3 linked regions of the Pelodiscus sinensis genome follow. The protein of the gene in region 1 purifies or fractionates together with the protein of each later gene. This does not show direct contact. Links are inferred from orthologs where the notes say so. Each region holds a gene or a part of one and is shown on either strand. Other genes may lie near its edges. The genes, in order: PNN, CLK2 and NCBP3.

Region 1 (3,744 bases):
ATACGAGGAACAGTCACCTCCATTCCATAGGAATTTTAAAGCCAGAACAGAGAGACTTGGCTACTCGGCTCATTGCGAGCGATAAAAACCTGGGCAGCGAGCTGGACTTCAGCTTGGAGCTCTCCGCACGATCGGCAGAACTAGAAGAGACACAGAATTGCCCCGAGGACCTGGCCCTACAATCATGCGGAGGACGAAGGGTCGCGGCAGCGCGGGCGCACCCCGGAGCGGGGCAGGCTGCGGGCGGCAGGGCACTAAGCTCGGTTCTTTCCCACTGCAGCGAAGGGGAATGCGCAGCAGGGGAGACACCGCGCTGCAATGGGAAAGGCAGAATAACAGCGCCAAGCAGGCAGCTCATCTTGCCCCGCAAAACGAGCAGCCAGGGCGGCTTCCCCTCAGGAGAGGCGATCCCGGGCCGGCTACATGAGTAGAAGGGGGAAAAAAAGAAGACACCAGCACGTGAGCTGATTGGCTAAACGCCAGGCCTTGCGCGGAATCGCTCTTTTCTTGTTCCCAAACAACATGCTTTTGCATTGGTTGAGTTGTAAGAAAGTAAGAGCTGATTGGCTACTCCCCGCTTCTGTTAGTTATGCCTCATGGCCTCTGAAGGGCCTCGGCGTGGGGTGGGGCGGGAAAGTTGAGAGAGTTCGGAGTGGGTGGAGATGGACAGTATTACTCTGCTTCTGATTGGTTGATAGGAAGAAAGGAAACGGTGCTGGTTGGCTGGGATCTATGTCATTTTGTTTGTCCCTTCGGTGATTCGCAGATATGGCAAGCAGGGAAGACTGGTGATGGGGCTGGCGATTTGTCACTCCGACATGGGCTCTCTAATTGGCAGATGCGTCGCACGCGGCTAGGCTGTAGGCGTCGTCGCTTCTGGTCGAGACATGGTGATTGGCGCACCTGGACGGTCGGCGATTTCCTATTGGTGTCACTCTGGTTCCGAGCATTGTGACTGGCGGGTTGTAGGGCGGATCGAGTAGTTTGTGGGCGGGGCATCTCGCTCCGTTACCCAGCGGTGCTTTGCGCTAGGCCCTTGGCTAGGCCGCGCTGCTGGCGGGATGGCGGTGGCTGTGCGCGCGCTGCAGGAGCAGCTGGAAAAGGCCAAGGAGAGCCTCAAGCACGTGGATGAGAATATCCGCAAGCTCACGGGCCGGGACCCCAACGATGTGAGGTGAGGCGAGGCGAGGCCGGGGCTGGGGCTGGGCGCGCGCCCTGCGGACGAGGGCGGGCCGGACCGGACGAGCCTTGCGGGTTCCTTTTCTCTCGGAGCGGAGGAGCAGCGCGTCACTGACTCTGGAAGCAAACGTGCTTCTGAGGGTCCGAGTCCTGTCGACTGGGTGCGGCCTGCGGGGTTTGGGGCGCCGCGGCCCGGCGCTCCTTCTTTTCTGCTCGGGCCCCTAGTTCCGGCGGAGGAGCGCGGGAGACTTCTTTTGCCCGCCCCGCGGCCGGCTGCTCGCCACCGCTTTCCGTGCTGTTCCACTGAGGTTGCTGGGCTGGGCGCTGATCGGAGGCAGCCGCCGCGGCGTGGTTTGCCCGCACAGTCAGTTGGTAACGTGTCTGAGAGGGACACACAGAGTCTCCCTTCTGTTGCCTGTCAGGCGTGATCCAGCCGGGAGGGAGGGGGAACTGAGTTGGGGAGGTCATTGGGTTGCCAACAGTCCCTTATTTTTCTCATCTGCGTACACCAAGATTGGGAATTTAAATATAGTGCTAGAAAACATATCTAGCAATCCCTTCTCTGTGCACTTGCCAAGGGTATGTGCTGCTTTTCCCCAGCAAGGTTTTTACAAGCAAAGTTTATTCTCTTGACATGTGAGGTTTTCCCTCTGTTAGTCAATGTCTGGTATGTGAGACCATGCAGGTCTCCAGAGAGAGCATATTTGCTTACTCTGCCCGCATTCTAACACTTAGTACATTTCTTCCAGGCCCGCTCAAGGTAGATTATTGACCATCACAGGCCCTGGTGGAGGTAGAGGGCGTGGTAGCATATTGCTGAGGTAAGAAACTGTTTATTTTGTGGTTCTCAGCCATCGCCAAATTATTAAATGTTACTTTTCCATCAGGTTTTGTAGGGTCAGTATTACAGGGTTATTGTGTACTTCATGCCACTAATATAGGCAATGGAGAATGCTATATAACTTGACTGTTACTAAAATATAATTATTATGATGATTGTTTTCAGTGAGGTAGGGAAGCATTACCCACATAGACAGGAAGTTTAACTTACCCAGGATCACATTTGAGTCAACGGCAGACCAGCATTGGAAACTCTGCAGTTCCAGTGTCCAGGTCTCTCTGACAGCTACTTATTTGTTTTACTTCATGTATTAAGTCTTCTGTTTTTTAGGCGTGGATTCTCGGATAGCGGAGGACCCCCAGCCAAACAGAGGGATCTTGAAGGGGCAACCAGTAGGTAAGTATAAAGGTGAACAAAAACTTTACTCGAGTGAAAGGTCATCATGTTTTAACACATTTAAATTGTCAGAACTGGTAACTGTTAGTCTGGTGGCTTTATAACTACTTTCTTAAAGATTACTAATTCCAAAGCTAAAGCTTTTGTCACTGTTTTTGGATGATCCCTCCTGCATCAGTAAGGATATAGCTCCCTATCCATGTTTTAACATGTTCATATCAGTTCTGATAAAATCTTGTCTCTGTCTCCTCCTCGCTATAAAATGTAATAATTCTGAAGAAATGCAATCAGATGTAGAATTTGAGTGGTAACTTACCGTTCAATAGTTCTGAAGTAATATCTGAGTATAAATCATTCCCTTCGCTCAATGAGGAGTTGATGCCGAAATCTAAAACACCTGATTGTTAATATCAACTGCTGATTATTGGGGGGTGTCAATGGATAGCTGGATTGCCTATAGTTTAAATGGCTATTAGGAATGTCAATGTGTAGATGACTACACGATTAACCAATAAGCCTGCACACATTGTCCCCCCTTGCTGCCTCTGTATCAGAGGCAGTGGGCTGGGGAACGGGAACCAATGACCTGCACTTCTGTGCTGTTGCCTCTGATAGAGAGCCAACGGTGTGGAGGGGTTGGGGTCAGGCAGGAGTCAATATGGGTGAGGAGTCAGCTCTGTGGACCCGTCTGCTTATCTTTCCTGATGCATCTTACAGAGCCAGTGAGTGGAGGCAGAGGCAGGAGCTAGTCTTCAAAAGCCAGCTCCCCCTGAGCACTGGCTCTGTGGACCCTCCTGGCTGCCCCGCTTGCTGCCTCTGTCAGAGGCAGAGCAGCAGGAGAACCTGCTGCTGCTGCAGCAGCAGCCACCCCTTTCTGCAGTGAGCCCAGGCTCCTTGTGCACAGGGTTCCCCTTGCAGACTAGCTCTTACCTGCCACCCCATGCTGTTACCTCTGATAGGGGCTGGTACAGCCAGGTAGGTAGCCCAGCTCAGTCCTGGCTCACCTGTGTCTACGATACCCACTGTAGCTCTTCAGTTTAAATGTAGTAGGGGCTGGACTACCTGCATGCCCAGCTCCTACGAAATTTAACTGCAGAGCCACAGCGGGAGTAGCTCCTGGACCCGACATGAGCTGGGACTCAGCACCTTCCCTTATCAACTAATCATGAAGTCGATAAAAATTGTCTACTACACGATTAGCCAATTACTTGCCTCTTAACAGCCTTCCAGTGAACCATTTGGCCACTGGAACTACACCAGTAGTGCAGCTCAAAAGTGTGAATGTGTAGAGTACATATCTAAACTCCAGTTGCATGGGAGCATTCTCT
Region 2 (3,744 bases), on another chromosome or scaffold:
GGAACCTGCCGCATGGGGGCGGGGGGTGAAAGGCCTCCATTGGGTTGTGCAGCGACTGAGGCAGAACCTATGCGTTCCAATTCTCAGCCCCCTCTGCTCTAGCCAGACAGCACTCCTTCCCAGAGCCACGAGGGCAGCCCGGCACCCTGGCTCCCACCCTCGTGCTAGTGCCTCTAGATACCTGTGGCTCTGCATTATTCACCAGCAATGTGGTCTCCAGGGAAGAATGTGAAATCAGAGCTCCCCTCACCCTCACGTGACTGATTCATCCCAAGATGCACTAGTGCACCTGGCTCATTTCTTGTACTTGCAACTTCATCTGAAAGCAGGTGCACAGAGACAGAAAATGGTCTGATCAAAGATGTGGCGTCTCCTCCCTATGAGCGACTTACGGCCGGGGGGGCAAACCTAGGCCTCCCTAGGCAACACAACCCTCCCTGCTGGGTAACTTGGACAGCAAACACACTCTTCAGGCTCTGAAGCCAGGAGAACATTAAAGGCTGCCACACCTATTCCGTGGACCAAAGAGACATTTCTGGTCTTTAATGAGAAATCCACATTTCTGAGCTTCGTGCTGGCAGCTTTTCAGATGCCAGGAAAGCAGGACAGTCGCACTACTCCGCCCTCGTAACCCAGAGCATGGTGTCTGTGGAGCAGCGGTACCGCTCAGGAAGCTGGCAACAGCCAGGAGAAGCTATAAAGAGGGTGCCTCTGAGCAAGGTGCTTCTCGCAGGGACCACTGCCGATTCTGAGCCAGCACGTCTCAGTCTGACTCAGTCCAGTTATAAAAGCCAGCAAAGAGACTAAAATGGAAACGGCAGCTATCGCTGGAGGGACCCTTGTTGCCAGCAATCAGCACCGCCACCCTGAGCATTCGTACTGGGCTTCCTAAACACCACTGAATTAATCCCGACACTCCAGCAGACAGGGAATGTCACAATGCCCATCTACAGACAGAGAAACTGAGGCACGGCAAGAGGAAGGTGATTGCCAAGGGCACAAAACAAGTGAGAGGCTAGAACTACAGCCCCACAATCCCGGCTGTCAGACCTCTGCTCAGATCCCAGCCCTGAGGCCTGCTCCCAGGCAGTACTGAGCTATCCTCAGCACCCCCGGTCCTGGAAGCTCTTGGCCCTGGCTCAGGCTGCAGAGTGACCCCGAGCCTAGGAACACTGAGCAGCCAGCATGGAGATAAACCTGCTGGGTGTGTGTGTGGGAGTGCACGCAGACCAGCATCGGAACGCCGTGTTTTCAGCCCTGGCAGTCAGGATGCTGACGTGGGGACCCAGCACCTGCTCCCCACCAGCGAGCCCCCTGCACAGGCGCCTGCTCCTGGCTGGGGACAGCAGACACCAAAGCAACCACTGCTAGAGGCAGCCACCGTGCCCCCCACCGCCAAGGCCCCCTGAGGCTGCCCAGCCCACCCCGCCCTACCCCCCCACTGCCCCACCCCCTCCCACACCCCAGGCTGCCTGGTCCCTCCCCACTGCCTGGAGCCCATCCCGCCCTATCCCCCACTGCCTGACCCCCCCAACCAACTCCAGGCTGCACGACCCCCCCCACCCCAGGTTTCCAGGCCCAGCCACTGCACGACCCCCCCCACCCCAGGTTTCCAGGCCCAGCCACTGCACGACCCCCCCCACCCCAGGTTTCCAGGCCCAGCCACTGCACGACCCCCCCCACCCCAGGTTTCCAGGCCCAGCCACTGCACGACCCCCCCCACCCCAGGTTTCCAGGCCCCTCCCCCACTGCACGACCCCCCCACCCCAGGTTTCCAGGCCCCTCCCCCACTGCACGACCCCCCCGCCCCAGGTTTCCAGGCCCCTCCCCCAATGCACGACCCCCCCGCCCCAGGTTTCCAGCCCCTCCCCCAATGCACGACCCCCCCGCCCCAGGTTTCCAGGCCCCTCCCCAATGCACGACCCCCCCGCCCCAGGTTTCCAGCCCCTCCCCCACTGCACGACCCCCCCGCCCCAGGTTTCCAGGCCCCTCCCCAATGCACGACCCCCCCGCCCCAGGTTTCCAGCCCCTCCCCCAATGCACGACCCCCCCTACCCCAGGTTTCCAGGCCCCTCCCCAATGCACGACCCCCCCGCCCCAGGTTTCCAGGCCCCTCCCCAATGCACGACCCCCCCTCCCCAGGTTTCCAGCCCCTCCCCCACTGCCTGCCCCCCGCGAGCCCAGGCCCGGCCCGCACCCTCCGCGCAGCCAGCCCGGTGCGCTTGTCCCACAGGAAGTCCGTGTTGGCGGCCGTGGGCCCCCGGGGATCCGGGCCCCGCTGCGGCTCCTCGGGCTCCGCTCCCTCCGGGTCCGGGTCCGGGGCCTAGCGACCAGGCCCCGCGCGCGCGCTCCCGACTCCGCCGCGGCGGGGACGCGCGCGCACAGCGATAGCCACCAAGCCCCGCCCCCTCTGCCGCGCGGCCTCAGTGACGCAACCGCATCACGTCACAGGCGGCTCCGCCCCACGGGACACGTGATTGAGCTCCCTTCCGGAAGCGGGGCCGCGCCTGTCGCTCCCCAGCGGCAGCGCCGGGCCCCGCCCCCCACGTGTTCCCAGCCCCGCCCCCCCGCCATGACCTATAGCCCCCCAACCCAGCCCTCCCGCTCCCCACGTGTCTCCATCCCTCCATCTCCTACAGCCCCCCCGGCTCCCCTCGTGTCCCCCCCCACGTGTCTCCATCCCTCCATCTCCTACAGCCCCCCCGGCTCCCCTCGTGTCCCCCCCCACGTGTCTCCATCCCTCCATCTCCTACAGCCCCCCCGGCTCCCCTCGTGTCCCCCCCCACGTGTCTCCATCCCTCCATCTCCTACAGCCCCCCCGGCTCCCCTCGTGTCCCCCCCCCCACGTGTCTCCCATCCCTCCATCTCCTACAGCCCCCCCGGCTCCCCTCGTGTCCCCCCCCCACGTGTCTCCATCCCTCCATCTCCTACAGCCCCCCCCGGCTCCCCTCGTGTCCCCCTCCCTCCGCGTCCCTGCAGCCCCCCCACGTGTCTCCCATCCCTCCATCTCCTACAGCCCCCCCCAGCTCCCCTCGTGTCCCCCCCCACGTGTCTCCATCCCTCCATCTCCTACAGCCCCCCCCAGCTCCCCTCGTGTCCCCCCCCCCACGTGTCTCCATCCCTCCATCTCCTACAGCCCCCCCGGCTCCCCTCGTGTCCCCCCCCCCACGTGTCTCCATCCCTCCATCTCCTACAGCCCCCCCCGGCTCCCCTCGTGTCCCCCTCCCTCCGCGTCCCTGCAGCCCCCCCACGTGTCTCCCATCCCTCCATCTCCTACAGCCCCCCCCAGCTCCCCTCGTGTCCCCCCCCCCACGTGTCTCCATCCCTCCATCTCCTACAGCCCCCCCCGGCTCCCCTCGTGTCCCCCTCCCTCCGCGCCCCTGCAGCCCCCCCACGTGTCTCCCATCCCTCCATCTCCTACAGCCCCCCCCGGCTCCCTCCGTGTCCCTGCAGCCCCCCCACGTGTCTCCCATCCCTCCATCTCCTACAGCCCCCCCCGGCTCCCTCCGCGTCCCTGCAGCCCCCCCACGTGTCTCCCATCCCTCCATCTCCTACAGCCCCCCCAGGCTCCCCTCGTGTCCCCCTCCCTCCGCGTCCCTGCAGCCCCCCCCCACGTGTCTCCCATCCCTCCATCTCCTACAGCCCCCCGCTCCCCTCGTGTCTCTACAGCCCCTCAGCTCCCCCCGTGTCCCTCCCTCTACGCTCCCCCACATCCCTGCAGCCCCCACACATCTCCCATCCCTC
Region 3 (3,744 bases), on another chromosome or scaffold:
TGCTCTCCATAGGGTTGCCATACTTGAACTTTCAAAAAAAGAGAACACTTCTGAGAGGGAGGCTACGTCTAGATTGCATCCCTTTTTCGTAAAAGGGATGCAAATTCGACATATCGCAATTACTAATGAAGCGGGGATTTAAATCTCCCCTGCTTCATTAGCATAAAAATGGCTGCCGCTTTTTTTCGGCACGGAGCTTTGCCGGAAAAAAGCGCCAGTCTAGACGCAGGTCTTTCGGAAAATAAAGCCTTTTCCGAAAGATCCCTTATCCCTCTTAAAATAAGGGATAAAGGATCTTTCGGAAAAGGCTTTATTTTCCGAAAGATCTGCGTCTAGACTGGTGCTTTTTTCCAGCAAAGTTCCGTGCCGAAGAAAAGGGGCAGCCATTTTTATGCTAATGAAGCAGGTGAGATTTAAATCCCCGCTTCATTAGCAATTGCGATACATCTAATTTGCATCCCTTTTACGGAAAAGGGATGCAATCTAGACGTAGCCGGAGTGTATCTGGATCAGTATCTACCAACTCACATATTAATGTGTTATATAGTACAGTGTTTCTCAGCCAGTGGTTGAGAGAACTCTGGAGGGTACATCAACACAACTAAAATTGGAGAAAACTGAATTTTTGTTTTAAGTTTTACAGCGTTTTATTATTTTTGTACTTTTTACACGCCAAAATTTCATCACCCACCTGGCTACTATTAAGTTGTTTAAACAAATGTGTTGCAAAATGGTAGAAAAAAATGTGTGTGTCTGAAAACTATAGGTACTGGGGGTACTTAAAATTTATTTATTTATGTTTTTGGAAAAGGGGTACTTTATAAAAAAAAAAAGGTTGAGAAACACCGATACAGTGTACAACGTGAGTTGGTAGATACTGATACAGATACACTCCCTCTCAAGAGTGCCGCCTTTTGGAAAGTTGGAATATGGTAACCCTATCTCTCGTGAAATGTGCACAATGCTGCCATGACACAATGTTGTGATGCCCTTGTGAGCTGCACTGTATTGTGCTCCCCCTCCCCCCAGGGCTGCAGGTGACCTGCCCGGAGGAATTGTGGGGCGGGAGGGCTGCTCAGGCTCAAGGCTGTAGGATTTTCGACTGTAGGCAGAACCAGACTCCACACAGGCAACTGGCCGCTCTAGCCTCTCCTCTGTACTCTATGCCACTGGAGGACCGAGCTGGTCGCGCTCCCTCCCTGTCTCTATGGCATGAAGAGCGCTCTTGCCGCCGTCTCTATGGTCGTGGCGGCGGCGGCGCGCTGTCCGCCAGCCCGCGTCTCTGTGGTAACGCAGGCCGGCTGGGAGGCGCGGCGCTCCGTCCATCCGGCGGGCCCCTCTCTCTGGTCGCGGCCTGAGGGCGTGTGGGCCGGCTTGGCGGAGCGATGGCGGCCGTGCGGGGCCTGCGGATCTCGGTGAAGGCGGAGGCGGAGGCGGAGCAGCCCCGCGGCCCCGAGCCCGAGCCCATGGAGGTGGAGGAGGGCGAGCTGGAGACCGTCCCCGTGCGGCGCTCGCTGCGGGAGCTCGTCCCGGTGCGGGGACAATGGGGGAGGGGGCCGGGCGCGGGAAGCGGGCGGGGGGGGGGGGTCGGTGCGAGAGGCGGGGCAGGCAGCCCGGGACCGAGGTACTAAAGGGGAAGCCACAGCGACCCCTCAGTCTGAGGCTGAGCGGGGGGGGGGGAGCCCCGGGTTTTCTTCCAGGGGGGACGCTGAGTCTCAGCGCTAAGGGAAACGGTCACTGGGGCGGGGGGGTGACACTGGGTTATCGCCTGGCAGAGACTGGACCCGCTTTGCTGCGGGCTTGTGAACTCCCCAGCGCTAACTGATGACAGCGGAAACCCTGTTTTATTCCCCCCCCCCCCCCCTTCGCCCTGCACGTCGCTCTTGTGACATTAATCGGGCGATTTCACGAAACAAAGGCAGGGCTATTTGGGGAAATGGGACTAGACTCAAAGGTGCGAAGAGGCTTACAAGTGACTTTCTGTTTAATACAAAAGTGCAGATGAATGGTCTCTTGTTCTAAAGGGGACTTGATAAGAGCCTGGTACATTGTCATTTTTAGAGTCTGGTATCTTAAAATAATTTGGTGATAAAAGATTTTTTTCAATTGGAAGACATGGAAGTTAGGCTCATTCTGCATTGGCACAGTATAGACTTTCTGTCTGGGGTGTGAAAAAACACACCTCTCTCACAAGTGTAGCAAGTCTGCAGTGCTGGGGGTCAATGAAGAAACTCTTCCATTGACTTTCCTTACTTTTCTCGTCCACATTAGAGTAGAGAAGTCGATGGCAGACTGCAGTCTATTTGACAGGTCTAAACTGTACACACTAAATCAATGGCTTGTGGATTGATTTCAGGGGGTCAGTATTATAGACAAAGGCTTAGTCAGTGTTGTACACATCTTGGTCAAGAAGATAATGGAGCTTAGATCTTGTCTATACTGTTACTTTACTGCACTTTAACTTTCTTAGGCAGGGATGTGAAAAAACACCCCCAAGCGCAGCCATTAACAGCGCTGTAAAGTGCCATTATAAACAGACTCCCAGTGCAGGGAGCCATGCTCTCCACATTCTGTTAACCACCTCTATGAGGGGAATAGCTTACTTACAGTGGTAGGAGAGCTCTCCCATTGATGGTGCTGTAACCCCATTGCCACAGCTTCACTTTAAACTTACAAGTGCAGACAAAGCCTCTGAGTTCAGAGAAAGTAGAAAGAAATGGTTTTATTTTAGAACTGTTTGCCAGATGAGATTTTATCAGTCTAACTGATTTATTGTATTTTGCCATCATCACAATTCTGCTTTGTTTCAGGACACTAGTAGAAGGTATGAAAACAAAGCTGGAAGTTTCATCACAGGAATAGATGTCACCTCCAAGGTATTATTGTGTTGTGGGTTTTCTTCAGTACTGTTGTCTGATGGGAAGCACTGTTAGTCTTCAGGAATTTCGGAGAAATGGTCATTTTTAGATTCACTTAGACCAGTGATTAGCTTTTTAATGTGTCTTCTGCAGCAGTTCTCTCTCTCTCTCTCTCTCTCTCTCTCTCTCTCTCTCTCTCTCTCTCTCTCTCTCTCTCTCTCTATATATATATATATATATATATATATATATATATATATATAAAATTCCTGTGGGATTGGTCCTGCCTTAGGCAGGGGGCTGGACTTGATGACCTCCTGAGGTCTCTTCCAGCTCTATGATTCTGTGAGTTTATGACAAACTGATGTCATCACATCACAGCTTCCACAGGGTGAGTAGGCACACTCCACCCCTTCCACTCTGGGCCCCATCTCTGGTGTCAAGCTCCACCCACCGCCAGCCCAGCTCTCTCCAGTGGCCACATGGAGAGTTGGCCTGGCGTGCTGCAGCCTGGCCTTTCCTGGACTCCAGGGACTGGTGTGGGCCTGACCTGGCACGCCATGGCCTGGCCTTCACCTGGGATCAAGAGCAGGTCTGGGACTGGGCTGTCACACTGCAGCCCAGCCTTTGCAGAGGGCACTACGGCCCAGCCTTCCCTGGGGGCTGAGGGTATGGCTAAGTCTAGCCTGGTGCGCCACTGGCCAGCCTTTGCCAGGGGCCATGGGCAGGTCTGGGCCTGGCGCAGCTGGCACAACCGAGGGTGGGGGAGAGAAAGGGCCCGAGGTTGGCATGGCAGTGGGGAACAGAGGAGGGGCCCAGCCCGGCATGGCTGCACCCCAGCCCTCCCCAGTAGCTGGGGAAAAAGCCAGGATTGCCTACTCGCTGC

What was found.
Region 2: the proteins of PNN (region 1) and CLK2 purify together in Homo sapiens (affinity purification with mass spectrometry; 3 studies listed by BioGRID and IntAct, counting the BioPlex papers as one, with this or other methods). This does not show direct contact. The link is inferred for Pelodiscus sinensis from reciprocal best matches to the Homo sapiens genes PNN and CLK2.
Region 3: the proteins of PNN (region 1) and NCBP3 purify together in Homo sapiens (co-immunoprecipitation; 3 studies listed by BioGRID and IntAct, counting the BioPlex papers as one, with this or other methods). This does not show direct contact. The link is inferred for Pelodiscus sinensis from reciprocal best matches to the Homo sapiens genes PNN and NCBP3.

What each region holds. Positions count from the first base shown.
Region 1 is NC_134714.1:45,293,367-45,297,110, reverse strand, and holds the start of PNN (pinin), read left to right. Parts: upstream 1-898; 5' UTR 899-1,061; coding exon 1,062-1,174; intron 1,175-1,928; coding exon 1,929-2,000; intron 2,001-2,350; coding exon 2,351-2,416; intron 2,417-3,744. UniProt on the Homo sapiens protein: Transcriptional activator binding to the E-box 1 core sequence of the E-cadherin promoter gene; the core-binding sequence is 5'CAGGTG-3'. Capable of reversing CTBP1-mediated transcription repression.
Region 2 is NC_134734.1:22,346,044-22,349,787, reverse strand, and holds the start of CLK2 (dual specificity protein kinase CLK2), read right to left. Parts: upstream 2,389-3,744; 5' UTR 2,198-2,388; intron 1,427-2,197; exon of another isoform or gene 1-1,426. UniProt on the Homo sapiens protein: Dual specificity kinase acting on both serine/threonine and tyrosine-containing substrates. Phosphorylates serine- and arginine-rich (SR) proteins of the spliceosomal complex.
Region 3 is NC_134731.1:14,841,384-14,845,127, forward strand, and holds the start of NCBP3 (nuclear cap-binding protein subunit 3), read left to right. Parts: upstream 1-1,253; 5' UTR 1,254-1,385; coding exon 1,386-1,532; intron 1,533-2,810; coding exon 2,811-2,876; intron 2,877-3,744. UniProt on the Homo sapiens protein: Associates with NCBP1/CBP80 to form an alternative cap-binding complex (CBC) which plays a key role in mRNA export. NCBP3 serves as adapter protein linking the capped RNAs (m7GpppG-capped RNA) to NCBP1/CBP80.